3 linked regions of the Lonchura striata genome follow. The protein of the gene in region 2 interacts with the protein of the main gene of each other region in a biochemical or structural test. Links are inferred from orthologs where the notes say so. Each region holds a gene or a part of one and is shown on either strand. Other genes may lie near its edges.

Region 1 (7,795 bases), on a different chromosome or scaffold from region 2:
AGCAAGGCAGGACAGAGGGACAGTCCAGGGTGGTGGCACAGGGCTTGGGGATATCCACTGGGACCAGCTGGACCCCCAATGTCCAGAGGGACAGGCTGAGGGTCTCAGGCCGTGGGGACTCCTCCCGCACACCATCCCAGCGTGCCCCAGTCACACCAGTCTGGCCGTGGGCAGCCACAGGAGCACCGTGCCAGGTGCCCCATGTCACCGTGTGGAGCACCATGCCAGGTGCCCCATGTCACCGTGTCCCCTCCCAGCCTGCCGGGCGCTGGTGGACGAGCTGGAGTGGGAGATCGCCCAGGTGGATCCCCGAAAAACCATCCAGATGGGCTCGTTCCGCATCAACCCCGACGGCAGCCAGTCGGTGGTGGAGGTGAGGCCTGTCCCGGCGTCCCGGCTCCCGGCGCCGCTCCCGGGGCCCGCGCTCAGCCCCGCCGGGGCCGCAGGTGCCGTACGCTCGCTCCGAGGCGCACCTGACGGAGCTGCTGGAGCGCGTGTGCGAGAAGATGAAGGAGTACGGGGAGAGGGCGGACCCGGCCACGCAGCGCAAGAGCTACGTCCGCGTCATCTCCCACGACGGCACCAAGATGGACCTTGCCGGGGTCAAATTCGACGGGGACGTCACCTCCAGCCTGAAATTCGCGGTGTGTGAGGGGACAGGGGGGAGGCCGTGGGCCGGCGGCGTCGCCGTGTGTCGCCGTGTGTCGCCGTGTGTCACCGTGTGTCACCGTGTGTCGCCGTGTGGCCGTTGCAGTGCGAGAGCATCGCTGAGGAGTACGAGGACGAGCTGATCGAGTTCCTGTCGCACGAGGCTGAGAACGTCAAGGACCGGCTGTGCAGCAAGAGGACGGGTGAGATGGGGGGCCTGGGGGGCTCTGCTGCTGCTCCCAGGGCCGGGGCTGCGCCGCTGGTGCTGGGCTGAGATGAACTGAAGTGAAGTGAGATGAAATGAGCCGAGCTGAGGTGAAATGAGCTGAGCTGAGCTGAGATGCCAGCCCACAGCAGGAGCTGCTTCTGAGGGTCTCTCCTGCTGTTCTTGGGGTCTCTCCTGCTCCATCAGTGCTGGGATGGCAGGAGATACCAGCCCAGAGCAGAGGCTGTTCCCGAGGGTCTCTCCTGCTGTCCCTGGGGGTCTCTCCTGCTCTTCTGGGGGTCTCTCCTGCTCCACTGGTGCTGGGATGGGATATGCTGCCAGCCCAGAGCTGGGGCTGTTCCAGGGGGTCTCTCCTGCTCTTCTGGGGGTCTCTCCTGATCCGTCACTGCTGGGATGGGAGAAGATGCCAGACCAGAGCTGGGGCTGTTCTTGGGGGTCTCTCCTGCTGTTCCTGGGGGTCTTTGCTGCTGTTCCAGGGTTTGTGGCTGCTCTGTTGGTGCTGGGATGGGATTTTCTGCCAGCCCAGGGCAGGGTCTGTCCCAAGGGTGTCTCTCCTGCTGTTCCTGGAGGTCTCTCCTGCTGTTCCAGGGGTCGTGGCTGCTCTGTCAGTGCTGGGATGGGATTTTCTCCAGCCCAGAGCAGGGAGGAGCTGCAAGTTCTTCCCCAAATCCCAGCACCCCATCGCAGAGCCCGGAGCCTGCTGGCACCGGGGTTGTTTCGGGATGCTGGGGCCGAGCCAGGGCAGCTGCTGTGCTGACTCTGTGGCCTCTCCTGGCACATCCAATGGCCCTGTCCCACTCTGGGGCTATTTCCAGCTCACAAACACCCAGCTCAGGGCACGGGGTGACCTTTGGGGCCCCGCAGTGCTGGATGGGGCAGGTCCCTGCGTACCTGGCACGGCTGTCAGGGCGGTGCTGTGCCCCAGGGGGATCCTGAGGGTCTCCACAGCTGCTCCCGGGGCTCCTCCTGTGGCGTGGGGGCTGGAGCAGGGACAGGCCAGGCTGTGGCTGTGTCCAAGCAGCCGCATTTGTCATTAACCACAGGACAGAGGCGGGGAAATGCCGCTGGCCCGGCTCAGGGCACAGCGGGGAGCGGTCCTGGGAGGGGACAGGGCAGCAGGGGGGGTCCCACGGGGCTGGGACGTGTCCTGGGGGTCCCATGGGGCTGTGATGTGTCCTGGGGGTCCCACAGGGCTCCAGCACTGGGGGTCCCACGGGGCTGGGATGTGTCCTGGGTGTCCCACGGGGCTGGGACGTGTCCTGGGGGTCCCACGGGGCTGGGACGTGTCCTGGGGGTCCCACAGGGCTCCAGCACTGGGGGTCCCACGGGGCTGGGATGTGTCCTGGGTGTCCCACGGGGCTGGGACGTGTCCTGGGGGTCCCATGGAGCTCCAGCACATCCTGGGGGTCCCACGGGGCTCTGATGTGACCCGAGGGTCTCACAGGGTTGTCATATCCTGGGGGTCTCGTGGGGGTCTGGTGCACCCAGAGGGTCCCACAGGGCTCCAGCACTGAGGGTCCCACGGGGCTGCTGTGTCATGGGGGTCCCATGGGGGTCCAACACATCCTGGGGGTTCCACCAGGGCTGCCTTGTCCTGGGGGTCTCCTGGGGGTCCCGTGGGGCTCCAGCACATCCTGGGGATTTTCTGGGGGTCCCGTGGGGTTCCAGCACATCCTGGGGGTCTCCTGGGGGTTTGGTGCATCCTGGGGGTCCCCCGGGGCTCCAGCACACCCCGATTGTCCCCCCTCGTTTGTCCCCGCAGACCTGTGTGACCACGCGCTCCACATCCCGCACGATGAGCTGTGACTGCTCCGGAGCGGGCACCGGGACCCACCGGGACCCACCGGGACCCGCTGGGACCCACCGGGACCCGCTGGGACCCACCGGGACCTGCTGGGACCCACCAGGACCCACTGGGACCCACCAGGACCTGTCAGGATGGCCCCGGGACCCTCCGGGACCCACCGGGACCCGCCGGGACGGTCCTGGGACCCACTGGGACCCACCAGGACGGCCCCGGGACAGACGGATCTACCGGGATCTCCATGGCTCCGGAGCTGCTGCCTCGCCCCGTTCAGAGCTCCCATCCTGTTTATTCCCCGTGGGGGCCACCGGGACGGCCACGGGGCCACCGGGACATTTCAGGGACATTCCTGCCCGGTGCCGGGGGACGCGGGGGACGCACCGGGCTCAGCCCCCGCGGGGTGGGGGTTTGGGAGCCCCCCTCCCTTTGCAGGCAATAAAGGGGCCATGGGCCCACCCGAGGCAGCCGTGCTCCCGTGGGTGGGGTGGGGTGGGGGACAGCAGCGTCCCCACGTGTCCCCGTGTGTCCCCACGTGTCCCCACACGTCCCCGTGTGTCCCCACGCGTCCCCACATGTCCCCACGCGTCCCCGCTGGCTCGGGGGCAGCGCTCACCCCCGCGGGGCTCAGCCCGTGGCTCTGTGTCACTCCGTGTCACCCCAAGTCCCCCGCTGCAGGGCCACCACGGGGGTTTGGCCCCACGTCACCCCCGTGTCACCCGCCGTGGGGTGCCGGCCCTCCGGGGTGTCACCCGGTGTCACCCGGTGTCACCCCACCCCGCCCGTGCGCAAAGGGCGCTGGGAGGGTTCTGGCCTCTCTGCCATGGCCCGTGTCACCTCATGTCGTCACCTGGCCCGGGGACAGGAGCAGCCGCAGGGCTCTGCCCCTCTTCGGCACCGCCGCCGCCGCGTGTCGCTCAGTTGTGTCACTCCGTGTCGCTCGGTTGTGTCACTCCATCTCACTCGGTCTTGTCACCCTATGTCACCCCGTGTCACCCCATCATGTCATTCCATGTCACCCCATCGTGTCACCCCATCGTGTTGCCCCATTGTGTCACTCCATCATGTCAGCCCCTGTCACCCCATGTTGCCCCATGTCACCCTATTGTGTCACCACCCCGTGTCACCCCATGGTGTCACCCTATGGTGTCACCCTGTGTCACCCCATGGTGTCACCCCATGGTGTCACCCTCTGTCACCCTGTGTCACCCCATGGTGTCGCCCCATGGTGTGACCCTCTGTCACCCCGTGTCACCCCATGGTGTCGCCCCATGTCACCCCATGGTGTCACCCTCTGTCACCCTGTGTCACCCCATGGTGTCACCCCATGTTGCCCCATGGTGTCACCCTCTGTCACCCTGTGTCACCCCATGGTGTTGCCCCATGGTGTCGCCCTCTGTCACCCTGTGTCACCCCATGGTGTTGCCCCATGTCACCCCATGGTGTCACCCTATTGTGTCACCCTGTGTCGCCCCATGGTGTCACCCCATGGTGTCACCCTCTGTCACCCTGTGTCACCCCATGGTGTCGCCCCATGGTGTCGCCCTCTGTCACCCTGTGTCACCCCATGGTGTCGCCCCATGTCACCCCATGGTGTCACCCTATGGTGTCACCCTGTGTCGCCCCATGTCACCCCATCGTGTCGCCCGTTGCTCCGGGCTCAGCGGGGACTCTGACGTCACCACCGCCCCTCAAGCCACATCCAATCGCCCCAAGCCACGGTGGCCACATGCGGGATGACGTCACGGGCTCCTGTGACCTCATACCGCCCGGCTGCGCGTCTGTGACGTCACGGGGCTGCCCCCACCCCCGCTGCCGAACCCCACCGGGACACCGGGCCGTGACGTCACGCGCCGCGGCCGGTGACGTCACGAGACGGGGCGGGCACCCCCTCACCCCACCCCTGGCCCTGATCAGGCGAATGCGGCGGCCACCTATAGCCTGCGCCCCCCGCCACTTCATTAGCGTGGCCCCGCCCCGCGGCGCGCCGCTTGGCCAATAGCAAACGGCTCTGCCCCGGGAGGGGGCGGGGTTATGCTAATGAACAGCGCCGCGCTCCGCCCCGCCCTCACGTTGAGGACCCCCGGCCGCCGCCGCTCCGGCCCCGCTCCCGCCCCGGCCCCGCTCCCGGTCCCGGCCCCGCTCCCGGTCCCGGCCCCGGCCCCGTTCAGTCCCGGCCTGTCCCGCCCCGGTACCGCCATGACGCTCCTCGCCGCCGGCAGCCGGGCGGCCGCGCGCCTCCGCGGGCCCAAGGTGAGCGCGCCCGGCCCGGCCTCGCCGCGCCTTAAAGGGGCGACGCCGCGGGGGGAAGGGAGAGCGGGGGGGGTCCGGCTCTTAAAGGGGCGACGCGGGGGGCGCTGCCTTAAAGGGGCCGCGCGGCGGAGGGGGGGATGGGACCGGGGGGACCGGCATCGCGACCGGGACCGGCACCGGCATCGGGACCGGGGTGGGCGCGGGGCCGCGGCCGCAGCACGTGGCGGCAGCCGGCGCCCGGCGCTCCCGCCGCAGCCTTCCCGGAGCCGGGGGTAACCGGGAGTGGCTCGGGGGGGCTCCGGTTCGTGCCCGGGGAGCTCCGCTGGTGCCTCAGCCCCGTGCGGGGGTCCCCGCCCCGGGGCAGCCCCGCTGGCGGTTCCGGTTCCTCGCTGTGCAGCGCTGGGCTTGGGGGGTCCGGGACGACCCCCGGGACCCCGCGCCCGGTGGCACCGGCAGTGGGGGGGGTGGAGGCGGGGACCGTCCCCTCCGCCGCCGCCCTTCCCCAGCGTCCCGGTGCCGTAGAGGACACCGGGGTCACAGCGGGAGGACCCCCGTGCTAGCCGAGCGCCGGTACCGGGCCGGAGCGGCCCCGACCCCTCCGTTCTGTTTGGCTTGGCCGCGGCCCCGGCGTTTCGTAACGGGCGTTGCGGTGTCTTTATCGACCGGGCGATATTTTGGGATATTCGCCATGCCCCACTTGGCCCTGCTCTCCCCTCAAAACGGGCGGACCGGAGCCGCCCCCCTGGCTTGAGCCGTGATCCCGGCCTTCCTCCTCCTCCTCCTCCTCCTCCCCGCACCCCCGAGCGCAACGGGAGCCCCGGGACGGTCCCGGTGTGGCCCCGCGCTCCCCCCCCGGCCGGTGCCCGGTGTCACCGCCAACACGTGTGACCTTGAGCCAGCGGCACCTCGGTGGCAGCGGGACGAGCCGTGGGGACCCCCAGAACGGGGCGACACCGGGGGCGACACCGGGGCTGGCACGGTGGGGGTGGCGGGGCGGCAGCGGCCGCCTTGACCTTGGGCTTCTCGCTGCCGCCTCCATTGTTCCGTTTCCCGTTCCCGGAGCCGCCTGTTGCGGGGGAACGCGGCCTCGCCACCCGCCGCGGCCACACCCGGCACACCGGGGACCCCCGCCCGGGCCGGGGGACACCGGGGGACACCGGGGGGCTTCTCTGCAGCGCGGCCCCGCCGCGTCCTCCCGGCGGCCGGCGGAAAAACCGAGTCATGTTCCGGCTCTGCCGCAGGCGCTGCCGCAGCTGCGGCCCCGGGAGCTCCGGGCGTCCCTGGGGATGGCAGCCCCGGTGTGCCCCGGTGTCCCCCGGTGTGCCCCGGTGTCCCCCGGTGTGCCCCGCTGTCCCCCGGTGTCCCCCGGTGTCCCCCGGTGTGCCCCGGTGTGCCCCGGTGTGCCCCGCTGTCCCCCGGTGTGCCCCGGTGTGCCCCGTGCCAGGCCTGGGCTGTGTTCCCGGGGTGTCCCCGCCGGGCCGGAGTCCCCGCGGTTCCCGGTTCCCACGCGTGGGCGAGGAACAAAGTTCGGATTCCCCGGCTCAGGAAAACCGCCGGGCGCGGCTCCAGGAAGGAGAACGCGGCCGCGTTCCCCGTGCCAGCTCCGGCCCCGGCTGCGAGGGCAGCACGGGGCTGATCCCGGCCGCTCCCGGTCCCGCTGCTCCCGGTCCCGCTGCTCCCGGTCCCGCTGATCCCGGCCGCTCCCGGTCCCGCTGCTCCCGGTCCCGCTGCTCCCGGTCCCGCTGATCCCGGTCCCGCTGATCCCGGCCGCTCCCGGTCCCGCCGTTCCCGGTCCCGCTGATCCCGGCCCGGCCCCGGCCCCGCCGTTCCCGGCTCCGAGCCGCGCCCGCGTGGGCGAGTGAAGCGGCTCCGGCGTCCCTGGGAGCCGGGTCTCAGCCTCGTGTGGCTGCCCCGGTGACAGGGGGGTCTCTGTGTCCCTTGTCCCGCAGAACGCTCCGTGTGTCCTCCTGGCCGCTCGCCACGCCAGCGCCGCCACGGTAAGGGGACAGGGGGGTCCTGTCCCGTGAGCCCGGTGCTGTCACCCGGTGCTGTCACCCGGTGCTGTCACCCGGTGCTGTCACCCGTTCTCCTGCCTCTCCTGAGACCCTCTCCAAGGGGATGCCCGTCACTTGTCATCCTCTTTCCTGTCCCAGTCTCTCTTGTCACCCTCTTTGCCATGAACCCCTCTCCTGTCAGCCCATCCTGTCACTCTGCTCTAATGGGAGTTCCCTCTCCTGTCACCCCCTTTCCTGTCACCCCCTCTCCTGTCACCCCCTCTCCTGTCACCCCTCTTCAAGGGGAGCACCCTCCCTCATCACCCTCTCTCCTGTCCCCCCCTTTCAGCCCCTGTTCTATCACCCCTTCTCCTGTCCCCGTTTCCTGTCCCTGTCTCTGTTGTCACCCTCTTTCCTGTCACCCCTCTCCACGGGGAGTCCCCTCTCAGCTGTCACACCTTTTCCTTGTCCCTCCTCTCCTGTCCCCCCCGTCCTGTGCTCAGCCCCGGTCTCACAGCCCTGTCCCCTGTCCCCAGAACCTCAAAGACGTCTTGGCCACCATGATCCCCAAGGAGCAGGCGAAGATCAAGAGCTTCCGGCAGCAGCACGGCAGCACGACCATCGGGCAGATCACGGTGGACATGGTGAGTGTGTGGCCAAACCGGGGTCACCGGGGCCACACCGGGGCCAAACCGGGGCCACCGGGCCCTGCCACCGCCCCTCACTGCAACCTCCCGGCTCCCTCCAGGTGTACGGCGGCATGAGGGGCATGAAAGGGCTGATCTACGAGACCTCCGTACTGGATCCTGACGAGGTAGGGCCCCGTCCCCCCTGTACCCCCTGTCCCACCCCACCCCATCCCCCTGTCCCACC
Region 2 (7,482 bases):
TTGGAGATGAGGTGTCCTCTTCAAGGAGAGCAGGACACTGCCTGGGCTGCAGGTGCCTGTGGGTACACCGAGTTTACAGGGGGAGGTTCTGTGCCCACCCTGAAACAGAAACTTTAAGGGATTTAGAGATTTTAGAGGAGCTAAGATTTTAGTTAGAGATAAGCCTCACTAGAGTTAATTAAAATAAATGAGTAGGCCTCGATGAAGTTAAGAGTTAGTAGTTAACTAATAACTGATTGCTCGTCAGCACAATGTTGAGTTAGCTGGGTTTATAATGAAGAATATAAACTGATAAATTGCTTTTAGGAACATCAGACAATTGTGGGCCTCCTCTGCTCTGAAACCAACTGAAGACAAGGAATGGGAGTTCTACCAAAAGTTCATTTGTCATGTTGGCATTGAAAAGGTAGAAAGGTCAGAAGGAGGAAGACTTCATTGACTTCCTCATTTTGGGACCCCTCCCCATGGAAGGGACACCGACCCATTCCAAGAAACAAATTATGCATGCTTAATAACTTTTTGAAATGATTAGCATAGGAAGCGAGGAATGGGATGTACCAAAATGATGAATATGTATTTATATTTTAAATATTCAATACTTGTATGGATAAAAGGGCTCTGTAATCACTTGTAAGGCACAATGTGGATTTGGGAGCGATCCCACACACAATAAACACTCACTCTCTAACTTTAAACTGTTAGAGAGTTTTTGTCCATCACAGTTGGATATCGGTACTAGATCAACCCCTGTGCCAGCCAGAGGCTGCCCTGAGCTCTGTGCTGGCATTCCCGAGGTGCTGTCCACAACCACACCTGCCCCGGAGACCTCAAAGCCTGACCCCACTGCTTGCTTATCTTAGCCCAAAAAGGATGCCAGGAAGGTGCCAGGATCACAGACCCCAGTGCTACAGGGAGCACTGCACTCCCTGGTGGCACGCTGTGCTCCTAGGGGTGCCAATTCCAGGGACACAGCTGCTCTGGGGACTGGAAAATGCTGGTACATCCAGCTCTGGGCACGGCTTTGCGTTTCTGCCTGCCCAGTGTCCACACAGGTCTCCAGAGCCAGCAGGGAGAGGGATGGATGGCAGCAGAACACAACTTTGAAGGATTAGAAACTGCTAGCTGGGCCTGGGGAAGGTAACACACAGGGCAATGCACGGATTCATTACGTGGCTTGATTGATAGAGTTAATTTTTAGCTCGTTGGACGCCTCCCTGCATTCCTGGCCTCTTCCCAGAAAGAGGGGAAGCCCAAAAATGCCCATTTCACAGATGATTTTCCAGTTCAGTTCACAGCTCATGCAACATCAGCAATAAACCTCCACCCTCTTGCTGCCCTGTCTGGGATCAGCTGGGGGGAATTGCATGGAGCACCTTGACTAAAAAAATGACAAATATTTGAGGTGAGCAGGGGATTGTTTGGCAGTCACCAGAGGGGAGGGAGTTCACAGTGACTCCCTCGGTGGTGAAGGTAAAGCAGGGGGTACCTGGCGCTCCTCGTGCTTCCCGTGGATCTCGATCATGTCCCCGAGCACCTTCACCTTCAGCTCCTCAGGGGAGAAATGCTTCACATCCAGGTTCACATAAAATTTGTCCTTATCCAGTCGCATCTGCAAAAAAGTGGGAGGTGACTTCAGAGAAGAGCAAAAACCAGGAGGTGACTTCAGGGAAGATCAGGTGAGGGTTTCAGCTTAAAAAGGAATGCAGTAGGTCAAGACTCACGCTGGTCTCTACACACACACACACATACACACACACACTGACCCTTATTTTGGGATCTGATCTGAGTGGCTCTGTCCCTTGCTGGCCTTGTGTTAATGCCCATCACTTCAGGACCTGAGATTCTCCACCAGAATTGGTTAAAACTGCCTCTTTATTTAAAGCTGACTCTTTATTTTGGCTGCTTCACTAGGCAGCCAGACCGAGGTCACTAAATCAAGAAAGACATTATGCAAGGATTAAAATAATACTTTCACTCCTTCTGCTTGGAATAGCTCCTCAAGCTCCTTGCAAATAAGACAGTTGACTTGCAGGACAGGCAAAAGCCTCTTGGCTCAGCCCCTGGAGGGAGTAGGCGCCTGCTCCATGATCCTCTGGGTCCTGGATTTTATTAAAAAGCTGCTTTCCTGGGCAGGGATTGTCTGAAATAGGCCCCTTTTCCCTCAGCAGCCATTGGCGTGAGGATCCCACTGCCCCCGTGCTCTTTGCTTCTCATGTGGGAGTGGGATTGAAAGTTTGGTGCAGCGGGTTGGGAAATTAGGGAAATTAGAGAAATTAGGGAAATTAGGGAAATTAGGCTTCCTCCTTTGCTCTGCCAGCTCCTAGGGTGATCTGCCACGCACACTGAGCTCTGTTCCCATCGCTATGGCCAGACTTGCTCCATCCCAAGCAATGCAGAGGTGCAAACACAGCACCTTTTCCCCCAGCCTTTCTCCTAAAAAAAAAAAAACAACACCTAGGAGCATCTTCCAAGCTCTCAGCTCTCCTGGGCCTCCAGAGCCAGCAGGCTGTGCCCCCAGCAGCCACAAAGAAGCAAAGATTACCTCCGAGAGTCCTGTCTCTAGCCAACTGGGCATCCGAAGGATGGGGGATCTCATCAGGAAGGGGCTGAAGCTGGGGGAAACAGGGAGCAGCTCCGACTCGGGCAGGTGCTCCCCGAAAATCTGGTCAAAGATACGGCTCGGTGCCAACCAGGAGAAGAAAGGTCTGCGGATCAGGGGGTTGTGGATGGTGATATCCATTGGAGAGCGCTGGAGGAGCCTGGCCAACAACTGTGCTGCAGTGCCGTGCCGGGAGCGGGGACAGCTTTATACCCCGCAGCTGGCCTGGCCTTCCACCCCCCCGAGGCCTCTTGAACAGTGGTGTCAGGGATTTTATTGTCCCACTCCTGGGCTGGGCCCTTCGGCGGTGCCCAGTAGCTGTCTGAGGGATTTGTGCACGCTGCCGAGGAGGAGGAGGAGGAGGGGGAAGGGGAGAGGAAGAAGAGGAGCCCAATGGGGCAGCAAGAAGCCGCAGTGGCCCGGCGCCCGCCCCGCTGCCCACGTGCTGTTTGTCCACAGTCCCGGGCGGGTTTGGCCCGTGTTCCAGCTGCCCTGCATGCCAGCGGGATCAATGCAGCTCCTATCTTTGGCTCACAGGGACGGCGACAAGGGGCCCTTGTTCCCGGGACTCGGCTCCAGCATCACCCGCCGGGTCCCGGCGGCAAAGGGAGCCCCGAAATCGGGGCTAGGGAGGTGCCAGGAGGGCTCTGCTGGGATCCTGGCACTGCAGGGTGCAGCCCTGCCGCCCTCGTGGTGTGTGGGAATAAAGGATGGGTCTCCCCACCAGCACCTCTTGTCTTTTGGCCGCTGCGGAGCGCGTTGTTCTGGAGGGAAGAGCCCCACGCTGTGACCCCAGAGAGAAGCTGGGCATGGTCACGGCCTCCAGGGCACTGTACTGCACCCAGGGGTGCCGAGCACCTCTGTCTGCCTCTGCCTAACCTGCTTTCCTGCAGCTCTGCTCCTAAATCCGTGCATTTGCTTTAATTCCTGCCTCGCCCGTGAGCCCAAATCACAGGAATGGGTTCAGCCTGGCTTCTGCTGAAGGGCAAGAGCTTCTCTGCCCGTGAGAGCTCACAATTTAAACCCAGTTTCTGGCTCAGAGGCACTGCCAGCTCTGCCAACCCTTTGCAAAAGGCTCTGAGCCTCTTCCTCTCGGCTTGCCTGCAAGAATAGAGGGCAGGATTTGCTCTGTGCAGCAGCCCAGGCCATAAATACCCTCTCCGAGTCCCCGTCACATCAGCAGCACTGCACCTGCTCTCCCACCCTGCAGGGCTCAGGGAATCTCTGGTTTCAGGGCGTGCAGAACCCAGCTGGGCACTCCTGCCCTGCTGCAGCACCAGCAGCCCACCAGCCCTGCTCAGCAAAACTGGATTTGGGCCAGGTTCGGAGCCTGGGTGAGCTGGGGATGGCTGGCAGCAGCATTTCTCCGTGGCCTGGCCAAGGGAAGAGGCTGGGCAGCCAGCAGGGCTCAGCATGGGGAGGTGACAGCAGTGGCACCTGGATCCCTGCTCCACTCCCTGCAGCCCTAAAGGAGCAGAAGAGTTGAGCTCAGCTGGGCAAAGCAGGGTTCTTACGTGGGGAACAGGAGGGGTTTGAGCTGAACAAGCCCCAGCCACCCACGGGGGCTCAGGGCCACCGATTCCAGTGCCAGGGGCTCCCTGAGCCACCCCAAGGAGCCTCTCGGTGGCCACAGCCTGGGGTCTGTCCTGCTCCCTCAGCCCTGAGTGCTGGGCTGGGCTGCCCATGCACCCTTGCTCCAGAAGGGACCCCCAGAGGGTCCCCGAGGTGTCCCTGAAATGTCCCTGAGGTGTCCCTGAGGTGTTCCTGAAATGTCCCTGAGGTGTCCTTGAAGTGTCCCCGAGGTGTCCCCAAGGTGTACCCAAGGTGTCCCCGAGGTGTCCCCTGCCCTCCCTGCTGGAATGCAGTGAGAATCTTCCCTCGCCGCCCTGGCCCGGCGTCCTGGGGCCTGCACGGGGCTATTTTGGGCCATCTTTTTTATCACTGCCTCCTCCCTTTGGAATCCTCCCAGCTGGAGCCTGGCAGCCTGCAGCCTTCACTCGGAGAGGCAGCGAGGGCTGGGGAGGAAGGAAGGGAGGCAGGAAGGCAAGAAGGAAGGAAAGAAGGAAAGAGGAAGGAAGGCAAGAAGGAAGGAAAGAAGGAAGGAAAGAAGAAAAGAAGGAAGGAAAGAAGGAAAGCAAGAAGGAAGGTGCCCATCCTGCACACGCCATGGCTGCCCGCACGGTGCCCCACGCCTACCCCATGAGCTCTGAGTACGAGTTTGCCAACCCCAGCAAGATCTACGACCAGAACTTTGGAGAAGGTAAGGAAGTTGGTGGGATCCCCCCCTCTTTGCACCTTTCTCCCCTCTGCTGCTGGAGGGCTGCTGGAATTCCCACTGGGGAGCTTGAGCTCCAGAGGGGGAAGCTGGAGCTGCGGAATTTTGAGTGGAGGAACCCAGAGCAAATCAGAGGGGAACAGCCAGGGAATAAGCAGGGAATATCTAGGGAATAACCAGGGAATAGACAGGGAATAGCCAGGGAGAAACCAAGGAATAGCCAGGGAAAAACTAGGGAATAAGCAAGGAATAGCCAGGGATTAACCAGGGAATAGCCAGGGAATAGACAGGGAATAACCAAGGAATTGCCAGGGAATAGCCAGGGAAAAAGCAAGGAACAACCAGGGAAAAAGCAAGGAATAACCAGGGAATAAGCAAGGAATAACCAGGGAATAGCCAGGGAATAGCCAGGGAACAGCCAGGATCTCTCTCTTCATGTCCACTTCCCCATCCATGCCCACTGCTGCCCGTCCCGTCCCTCCCTCATGCCAGCCACGCTCTGGCATTCGTGCACATGCTGTGCAAACATGGAGCCAAAGCTCAGGGCAGGGGGGGAAGCTTTTCCAGCCGGGGGGATGTGGAGAAAAGCTGAGCTGGGGCGTTCAGCACAAAGCTGGGCATGGCTGGCCCAGGGGAAGGAATGTGGGCAGCAGCAGAACCATTCAGCACCAGCACAACAGCGTGAAAAGGCAAAAAGCTCCAAGGAAAGCCCTGTGGACAATGGCACACAAAAGGCCTTTAGCCCTTCAGGGCGGTTTCTTCACCATCAGCAGTTTCCATGCCCACCCCTGGCTGCGGGCTCTGCTCTGCAGAGCTCCCAGGGCACCCGCCAGGTTCTCCCCATGCAGCCCAACATGTCAAGCTGGATGCCAGCCCCGGGCTCGCCGGCACTCTGGGCAGCTCGGTGGCACGCAGCAGCTGGCAGGGACGTGGCTCTGGGTGGGTTTTAGGGGCACAAAGGTGGGAACTGCAGCAGACTCCACCCCTGCTGCGGGGATGTGGCCGAGCCAAGGTGTTCTCCAGGTCCCAAACTGCTGCTGCAGCCCCATTCCCTGGAACTCCTCACTGAGTCTCCTGTGCAGGTGTGTCCCCATCGGAGATTTTAGCCCCTGCTCTGTACCACGGCTACTACATCCGGCCCCGGATCAACAAGCAGCTGGAGAGGGGCACCTCGGAGATCTGCCTGAACGAGCACAAGTTCCAGGTGTTCCTGGACGTGTGCCAGTTCCTGCCCGACGAGCTCAGCGTGCGCACCGTGGACAACCTGCTGGAGGTGGTGGGGCAGCACCCGCAGAAGGCCGACCGCCACGGCTTCGTCTCCAGGGAGTTCACCAGGACCTACATCCTGCCCCTGGACGTGGATCCCCTGCTGGTCAGGGCCACCCTGTCCCACGATGGCATCCTGAGCATCGTGGCTCCCCGGACGGGCAAGGAGGTGAAGGCGAGAATCAACGAGGTGAAGATAACCCAGCAGGAGCGGCCAGTGGGGGAAGAAGAGCAGGCTGAGGGAGGAAAAGAGAAGGAAACATCCTAAAGGCCGCAGATCTGGGAAGGTGGGGGGGACAGGGATGGGGAATCCGCAGTGCCAGACCCCTGGGCCCTGAGGCAGCCACGCTCCTGCTGCCCGAGGCTGATGCTGGGAACAAAAGGGGCTTGGAACTGGAAAGAAGAGTGGGGCTGAAGTGTGAGTGTGAGTGACTGTAATGCAAGTTTTCTCCTAGGCCAGGTGACCATGAAGGGAGCTCTGCTCTCACCCCAGGGTCATTCCTACCCTTAACTGTGAGGCTGTGTCTCAGTGGACTGTGCTCTGGCCCAGAAGGGTATTGGGAAGAGAGAAAAGGGGATCCCAGTGCCTGGTTTCTGAGCTGGAGGCTGAGATTCCTGGCTGTGCAAGGTGGGTGTTGGTCTGTAAAAGCGCCTGCAGCAATCAGGAGGAGAGAGGAATAAACCTGCCTCTGCTCTGCTCCTGTTTGCCTTGGATTGGTGTTGCTCCTGTGCAGCAGGGAGGATGGACAGTGCCCAGCTGGGGCTGAGCTCACCGTGGGGACATGGAGGGACTGTGGCCACCTCTGGGCCTCACCCCCTGGCCCAGCTGCTGGTTTAGGGAGCCCAGAGAAAAGTGACCTCAAGGACAAAAAGGTGAGGAGTGATCAGCCTTTGCAAGGTCCCTGAGCATCCCCAGAGCTGCAGCTGGAAGGAGCCTGAGTGAATGAGGCACAAATTAATGCCCAGCCACAGCCTGTGCCTGCTCAGCCCTTCAGGTATGGGACATCCTTCACACACAGAACTTCGTGAGGGGACTGAACCCAAAATACTGAAGGGAGAGGCTCTGCTCAGACCCCAGCTGTTACAGTGAGCTCATGGCACTCTGTGCCCCCTTCCCTGGGACCCTGTGGCTCTAATCTGATAACCCTGGACCCTCCTTCCTGCCCCAAGGGAGAGCCAGGGAAGCCCACCCTGTCCAAAGTCTGTACAGACCCCTGACATTTCCTGTTCGTCCTCTTTTGCTCCACTCTCCACATGGACATCACAGAATAAAGAGAGCTGAACCAACGTATTTCGGGGTAAGAGCCTCTTCTGGAAATCTTTGCCATCTCCTGACATTCCT
Region 3 (7,774 bases), on a different chromosome or scaffold from region 2:
ACATCCCAGCAAATTTGGGTCAGGGAAGGGGAAGGGCGGAACCTCCTGTCCTCTGCAAGGATGCCAAAGTGGGGGGTTGGTGGTGGGATGCTCCTGCGAAGCCTACCCAGCACAGTCCCTGTGCACCTGCCGGGGGCATCCTGGCGAGGGGAGAGGTCAGCTTGGAGCTCACTCCAGCCCCTCGGACATGCCCTGGTCACGGCTGTGTGGAGGCTTTGCCCGGAGCCTGGTGCCACTAGAGGGAGAGCTCAGCCCGAGCAGGATGGGTCACCAGCGGCTGTACGGTGGGTGTGTGGCACTGCACACCCCTCTGCGCCCCGCACAGACACCTGCCTCCCCTTGCAACAGGAAAGCCGTCTCTGGCTGAAAAACACCCCAGAGCAAAGCCTGGAGCTGGCAGCCACCCCAAAACAGTGGCAAGGTGGGGGGAAAGCCCCCCCTGCACAGCCCAACTCTGCTCACGGCTGGGGATGCAGACAACAGGACCCCAGTATGGCCCAAGCTGTTGCAGACCCCCCAACCCCTCACCCTGCTGGTGGGGCAGGTGTCCCCACCAAGGACCTGGGAGCACAGCAGCAAGTGCCTGGGGAGCCAGTGATGCTGGCGGGTCCACAGGTTGTCCAGAACAACTGGTTTTTCTAGATCCAAGAGACTATAAAAATGCAGTGACCTATTTAGGGAACCCCGCGGTGCTGCAAAACAGATGCTTCCCCTCCCAGCCCGGCTCCAGGCCCTTGTCCTGGCCAGCCATGTGCGCCTGCCAGGGGTACACAAAATACCACTGGCACCAGAGCTCTGTCCTGCTTCTCCATAGAAAACCCTGGGCAACACAGAGAATTTCCTTGGATGTGGGATTTGCTGGTGCCTGGGGAACTCTCTGCCAGGGAGAGCTGCTCAGGGCGACCCAACCTGTTTCTGACAAAGTCAGATGGGATCATGTGGACAGGAACAGCTGGTCAGTTTGCTGGAAAACACAGGGTGTTTAGCTCTGGGGATGCGGCAGGAGAGTGGCCCCAGTGGGTGGCTGCTGGTGGCAGGGCTGTGTGGCTCTGGGGACCCTGTGCTGTCCCACAGCTCGGCAGTTCCAACCGGCATCAGCCCATCACCACCTGCCCAGCGTGATAAGGAAGCAGGAGCTGCCACAGGCTGTACGTGGCTGTTCACCCGCCTGTGACGGGCAGCAGGGCAGACGTACAGCCACACAGCGTGTCCCCTCGCCACCGCAGCTGGAAAACCCTCCTGAAAGCTCAGGCGGGCTCTGCTGCCCTTCCAGATCACTCGACCCCATCCCTGCTCTCCGCATGGCTGCGGCTCCCTGCACTTGGTGCCACGTGCCTGGGACAAAGGACAGTGTGACAAAAGCAGGCGGCTGTGCTCACTGCCGCCTTCCTCCGCCCCTGCAAGGGCTGCATCTCCTCCACCACTGCATCCCTCGGGCCGGGGCCCAGCACAGTGCTCCTTGCTGAGCTGCCAGCTTGCTCTGCCCTGCCCCATGTGTCCTGCTCTGCTGCTGCTGTGGGACCGTGTCCTGGGCATGGGCTGTGGGCTGGAAATCACAGCCAGCTTTACCTCTGTGAGCGAGTGGGGCTTGTGAGACCCAGACAGGCGTGTCCCAAGAGTGGCTCACAGCCTGATGGTAGGAGAGCCAGGACCATACAACTCAGCCAGCAACGGTAGGATTGCAGCAGGGGTTTGGAGAGAGTCCCCTTGGGCAGGGGACTGTCCCTGTAATCTCCCTGAGCTTCCCAAACAGAGATTGAGCACTGCCTGAAAATTGCTTTTGGAAAGTGCTTGTGGATACCTCTCTCGGGGTTCCCTGTTCCCAAAGCTCCACTCCAGCTTCCCTGGGCCCAGTTGCTCCCACACCCCATAGGAAGGGAGGTTGTCCCAGCACTCATATGGCAGAGCTTATCCTGAAATCATCTGTCCCAGGATTCTCACTGTACGTGACCAACCACGGCGTGACGTCCCAAAGCTGGACACCAGTGGAAGGGGTGTAACAAAGACTGTGCTGCCCTCGCTGCTGGCTGTGCTGGGAGATGCTCATTGTTAACCCTGGGCTGTCTCCTGGGCAGAGCAGCCACTGTCCTCACAGTCAGTGTGACAGCCCTCGCTGGGGACAGGTGCTGCGGGAGAAGCTGCAGAATGGCTCCACAGCCAGCTCTGCCATGGCCAGCTTTGTATTCCGTGCACTGGGGCCAGCAGGCACCCATCACCCTGCTCCAGCCGGCAGCCTGGAGCCTTCCCTGCCTGGATCCAGCGCTGTTCCTGATGGGATTCTTCCGAACAGGAGAACCCCAGGAGTGCGTGTGTGCATTGTGCGATGGGGCTGCGTGAGCACCAGGGCGAGCTCACAACATGTGAGTGTATCGGGGGGCGGGGGGTGTGAGTGCGGGGAGTGCGGGATGGACGGAGTGTCACCGAGTCACACCGGGGGAGCGCACACACCGTCTGTGCGTCTGCGGGGGGCTGCGGGGCCACCCCCGGTGTGCGCGGGCGGTTGCGGCGATACCGGCTGCGCGCCGGGCTGCGGGCGCCGGTCCGTGCGGTGGCTACAGCCGGGCTAGGGGGTTCAGCGGGGCTCCCGGGTGGGCAGCACCGCCTCTCCGCTCCGCTTCTCCCCGCGGCGAGCGGAGCCGCGCCCGGCGCGGCGGGCGGCGCGCGCAGAGCCGGCAGTGCCCGCCCCGGTGCGGGGCCGCCCCGCCCCGCCCCGCCCCGCGCCGCCGCCGGGGCCCGGCACCGCCGCCGCCGCCACCGGGCCCCGCTCCGCCGCCGCCCCGGGTGAGTACCCGCCGCCACGCCACCGGGACCGGCCCCGGCCGCCCGCACCGGCACCACCGCCCGGCGCGGGGCGGGCCGCGGCGGCATCGCCCCCCCGGCGGGCCGGGCCGGGCCGGGCCGAGCTGCGCCGTGCCCCCGCGGTTGCACAACTGGAGGTGGGTGGCGGGGTGGGTGCGGAGCCCTCGGTGCCGCCCCCCGGTTGCGGGCGTGGGTGTGCGCATGGCCCGCTCTTGTCTGGCAGCGCCCGTGCAGCCCCCGGTGTCACTCGCGTTTGCGTGCGTGTGTGTGCGTGTGTCACCTTGTGCAGGGTGTGCTTCTGCGTGCGGTGGCCCCGCGCCAGGTGCTCCGCGCTGGGTAGCCCAGCACCCGCTGCAGGAGTCCCCAGGGCCAGCCCCGCTTCCAGGAGAAGCCGCTGGCCTGGGCCTTTCCCACACCGCCGGGGAATTGCATCCCAAGCCATTAGCCCGGCTCGCCGCTAACCGCATCCCCCGGTGCCGCTGGCACCTGAGCCACCTTTTTAGAGTGACAGGGGTGGGTGGCACTCGGCAAGCTGCTGTGCTGGGGGTGGTGGCGGCTCTCAAGGCTGTGCCCACCCCAGTGCCTGTTAATTTTCCCGGAGAGGAATATACGGAGCATCGGGCGAGGGCTGGGACGCGCGTCCCTAAATCGTGTGGTTTCCAGCCGGCCTGTGAAATGCAAATTGTCTGGTCAGCGATTGCCAGAGCTAAACTTAGGGCAATTACAGGAAAGTGTGGGCACATGGCAGTGTATTCCTACACCCCAAGGCTGGCCCTGGCACTCTGGCACTGGGGGACCACTGCCCACTGTCCCATCTCAGCTGCCATCCAGAGCTGGGTGTTCCCACAGCACCTGCATCAGCCCTGGACTTTGCTCACTGACGAGCTGTGGCTCGGCCCTTCACCTTTGCCGTGGGCTGGGCCACGCAGGGAGCCAGGCTGTGAATTTGGGGCCAGATAAGGGTGATGAGGCAGCTGTGCTGAGGCGGCTGCAACCCACCTGACCCCTCCAGCTGGTTATGGAACCATATCTCACCTGGCAGCCCTGCCAAGATCCTGCCCCACTACCTCTGGGTCTACCCTGTAAGACCTCTTGAGCTGTGTCATTGCCCAGCTTTGGGGCAAGGTAGGTGCTTGCGCCCCATGCACCCTCTTGGCCTGGGGTGACCCCTCGTAACCAGTGTGGGTCCCCTTTGCTGTTGGACATGGGTTCCTGCAGCAGGAGGGCCTGAAGTCCTGCTCTGGGGAGAGCTGGTGGCACATCCTGGCTGTGACTCGGGTAGATCCGGGATTGTTTTCCTCTTGACACATTGCAGCGTTGTCCATAAGGGAAGGCAGAGAGATTTGGAAACCCCCTAAATTTCCTTGTTCTGTGGAAAACTTGTGTCCAGTAAGGAGCCATCATGCAGGTCAGCTCCCATTTGCCCTGCGTAGGAGCTGGCCTGGCTGCTCGGAATCGCTGCCAGCAGCTCCCGCTCCCTGGCATGGCATCATCCCTTCCTGGCTGGGCATAGCCAGGGCATGAGGTACCCCAGCATGGTGTGCCCAAGGAGGGGACAGCCAAAGTGGTGTGGGAGCACAGCTCTACTGCTGCCAGCATCAGGGAGCAGAGCGGGGAGGTCAGGCGACCGTGAAACTTGCCGTGCAGGTCCCTGCGCGGGAGCGTGTCGGACGAGATTGCGTCTCGAGGAGGGAAGGAGTGGCTGGGAGTTTCAGTGAACGCCTTCCTCCCTGCCTGGAACACCCCGGCGCCCTGGCAGGGACACAGGGGCTCACGGCTGTTTGGGGGGACATGGGGGAAGGTGCATCCAGCTCCTGCTTGGGCGGCTCAGAGGGGACTTTTGGCTCGGGGAGCGTTGAGATGTGTCTCCATTTCTGCCATCTGGCCCTTCCAAGGTGACGTCCTCGTCTTTTGCCAGCCCAGTGGCACAGCAGCATCCTCGCGTGCGATCCCGGAGCGCAGCCGGCGCCGGCGGGTGCCTCTCCCTTCCCTGTCACGGCTCATGCACGCCGCTGCCCCAAACACGCCTGGCCAAGGGGAGTCCCGGAGCAAGCCCGGGCTGAGTCAGGGAAGGCGAGTTGGGTCTGAATCAGAGCGAGGAGACGCTCGGCAGCCACCTCCTGCTCACGGCATCGGGCTGCACCCATCCGTGGCGGGAGGCTTCTTGGGGAAAAGGGAGCAAACCACAACGGCATTCCACACGGGCTGGGGACATGGGTGCAGGGCGGATGCTGCGGTCCTTTCCCCAGCCCACACAAGTCTCCCTGCCCCACTGCTGCCCATTGTGGCCCTGCGTGGGGCACACGTGGCTGCGGCAGTGGCCGCCAGCGCTGCCTGATTAGCGATGCGGCTGGGAACGCTGTTCCCCCTTTTTGTTGAGCGTACAAAGGCTGGGAGGCAGCCTGTGTGCTGGGAGAGAAACCACCGAGGACAAAGAGCGTGCTGGCCGCCTGTCTCCTGGCGCCGTGGCTCTAACCAGCACCTGCCTGGCGAGGGCCTCTGCTCCAAGGGACCCCCAGAAGGATCCCAGCAGCCCCCTCCCTGCCGTGGGGTGAGCACTGGGTGCTCCCAGGGGTGCAGCCCTTTTGTACAGCTTCAAGGATGCCCAAGCAGCTATGGGAGTGGTGGCACGTGTCATGCGGGGGGACAGGAGCAGGTGCAGGTTGTTTCCTCCTTGCCATTGTCTGTGCTGAGGCCCTGGCACAGGGGAGCAGCCCCCAGCATGGCACAGCCATGGTGCCCTTTGTGGCAGCACCTGATGTGGGTCTTGAGAAGGAGCTGTCCTGTCCCCTGGTTCGGGTCAGGGATCACCCCACTGCCAGCAGTTCTGGGAGAGGAGAAAGGAAACGGGTTGTTTTCATGTTTTGGGGCTCTGCCCTTCCCAGGTCCTGCTGTGGGTCTGAGTCAAGCCCCAGTTGCTGCAGGGAGGGCAGAGCAGCCAGAGCCCTGGGGCTGGGTGGTGTGGCACAACTGTGGCAGCCCTTCTGGCCATGGCCAGGAGCCTTGCAGCTGCAAGCCTGACCTTGTCCCTCAGGCTGCTTCCCCTCACTGCCTCAGAGGTATCACACACCCAACACTGTGCCATGGCTTGCAGGGCTCTGTCCTCACCTGCCCTGTGGCCAGGCCTCTCTCGGGCACATGTGCTTCTGTCCCAGCCCCGAGGGGCAGGGAGTTCCCTGCCATCCCCGTGTGGCTTTGTCAAGGGGAAAATGGGTTTCCCTTGTCCCACTGGGTGTGTTCAAGGACAGTGGAGACCATGTGCCCTTGCAAGGAGATGGTCCAGGCAGTGATGGTGATGCAGTACTGATGCTGTGCTGGAGCCAAGGTGCAGCTTGGCACAGAACAGCACATCCATGCAACCCGGGCAGAGCCTGCACTGCCACCGTGGGCAGCGCTGCTCATCCCTGTGGCTGCCCAAACCTCATCCCCACACCCGTCGGAGAGCTCTAAAGCAGATGCTTCAAACGTGGGGAGCTTTCCTGTTGTCCTTTGTGCTGAGGTTAAGTTCCTGTGCAGTTTCCTGCCCTGTTATATATAGCTGTCAGCCCGTCCTGCGGGTGCTGCCAGCCGCCTGCTCCACTTTGGAGTTGTTTATCCACAGCCCAAGCGTTCGATGGAGGCTGGGGGGGGCTGCCTGTTACCCCAGGGACAGAGGAGTGCTGTAACACCCCATGCAGGGTGAGGCTGTGGGTGCCCCCAGGCACGGGGTGTCCCCAAGCACTGGGTGCACATGGGGTTTTCCAGGAGGGAGCTGTGTTTTCTGCCCAGCCATGGTTTTCCCACTGGCACTGGGTGCTCCCCCCCGCTCTGCGCAGGATGCCCAAATGAAAGAGCCACTGTTCCTGGAGGTCGCCGGCAGCGTCACGAGCCTCTGCGTCGCCCTGGCTAAAATTAGACACTTATCAGTGTTGGGAGGGATGTGATTTTACAGGTTCCTGTTTATTAGAGCAACCTTCGCTCCAGGCCGTGTTTCCGGCTCCTCCCTGGTGGGGACACTGCCCACGGCAGCCCCTGTGGTTTGCGGTGGCCAGAGCTGGGATGAGCAGCAGAAAGGCCTCTGTTTCCTCAACAAGGGGCTTTTGAACAGCAGGCAGGACGTTGGTGGTTGGATTGGATGGGGGTTTTACCCTGGGGAGTGTCCCTGCCAGCAGAAACTGCTGCAAAAGCCACCAGGATATTTTCTTCCCTGCCCACCCAAGCTGCTCCAAAAGAGCTCTTGAGGTGCTGAGGGTCTTGCCTGCAGTCAGCTCTACTGCCAGGCACTGCCAGGCTTCTGGGCTTCTTTTGGGGCAACCCTGGGGGTACAGGGCCATCCTTGTTGCATCCCTGGGGCTTGATGCCCAGCCAGGGCGAGGACACATGGACTGGGGCAGTCTGAGCCCTGTGATGCTGCAGTCCCCAGGGAGAGTGGGAATGCTGGAACATACTCAGCTCAGGGGCTGGGGGTGGCAGCTGGGGTGACCAGTGGATGGAGGGGTGGCGGGTGGGTGTTGGGCATGCTGCTCTCTGATGGCACCCTTCCTGTCTGTCCTTCTGCACAGGCGGCTGTGCTGTGACCGGCGCCCCAGCCCAGTGCCCTGCCGTGAGGGCAAGAGTGCCCCGAGCCCCCATCCACCATGTTCAACCTGATGAAGAAGGACAAAGAGAAGGATGGGGCCCGGAAGGAGAAGAAGAAGGAGAAAAAGGAGCGAATGTCAGCAGCTGAACTCAAGAGCCTGGAGGAGATGAGCATGCGCCGGGGCTTCTTCAACCTCAACCGTGCCTCCAAGCGGGACTCCAAGACCCGCCTGGAGATCTCCAACCCCATCCCCATTAAAGTGGCCAGTGGCTCTGAGCTGCACCTCACAGATATTGACTCTGACAGCAACCGGGGCAGCGTCATCTTGGACTCGGGCCACCTGAGCACGGCCAGCTCCAGCGACGATCTCAAGGCGGACGATACCAACTTCAAGGGCTCGGTGCTGCAGCGGGCAGC

What was found.
Region 1: the proteins of CRYAB (region 2) and CS form a complex in vitro, tested with the Homo sapiens proteins (3 studies listed by BioGRID). The link is inferred for Lonchura striata from reciprocal best matches to the Homo sapiens genes CRYAB and CS.
Region 3: the proteins of CRYAB (region 2) and CRYBA1 form a complex in vitro, tested with the Homo sapiens proteins (2 studies listed by BioGRID and IntAct, with this or other methods). The link is inferred for Lonchura striata from reciprocal best matches to the Homo sapiens genes CRYAB and CRYBA1.

What each region holds. Positions count from the first base shown.
Region 1 is NC_134629.1:5,565,514-5,573,308, reverse strand, and holds the start of CS (citrate synthase, mitochondrial), read left to right. Parts: upstream 1-4,793; 5' UTR 4,794-4,874; coding exon 4,875-4,928; intron 4,929-6,877; coding exon 6,878-6,925; intron 6,926-7,458; coding exon 7,459-7,566; intron 7,567-7,670; coding exon 7,671-7,736; intron 7,737-7,795. Other genes in the region: CNPY2 (protein canopy homolog 2), read left to right, coding at 258-373, 447-644, 755-922. UniProt on the Homo sapiens protein: Key enzyme of the Krebs tricarboxylic acid cycle which catalyzes the synthesis of citrate from acetyl coenzyme A and oxaloacetate.
Region 2 is NC_134625.1:9,470,238-9,477,719, forward strand, and holds the start of CRYAB (alpha-crystallin B chain), read right to left. Parts: upstream 3,016-7,482; 5' UTR 2,741-3,015; coding exon 2,543-2,740; intron 1,610-2,542; coding exon 1,487-1,609; intron 1-1,486. Other genes in the region: HSPB2 (heat shock protein beta-2), read left to right, coding at 4,766-4,859, 5,957-6,408. UniProt on the Homo sapiens protein: May contribute to the transparency and refractive index of the lens. Has chaperone-like activity, preventing aggregation of various proteins under a wide range of stress conditions.
Region 3 is NC_134622.1:7,632,465-7,640,238, reverse strand, and holds the start of CRYBA1 (beta-crystallin A3), read right to left. Parts: upstream 3,003-7,774; coding exon 2,790-3,002; intron 2,782-2,789; exon of another isoform or gene 2,732-2,781; intron 2,564-2,731; coding exon 2,513-2,563; intron 1-2,512. Other genes in the region: MYO18A (unconventional myosin-XVIIIa), read left to right, coding at 7,416-7,774. UniProt on the Homo sapiens protein: Crystallins are the dominant structural components of the vertebrate eye lens.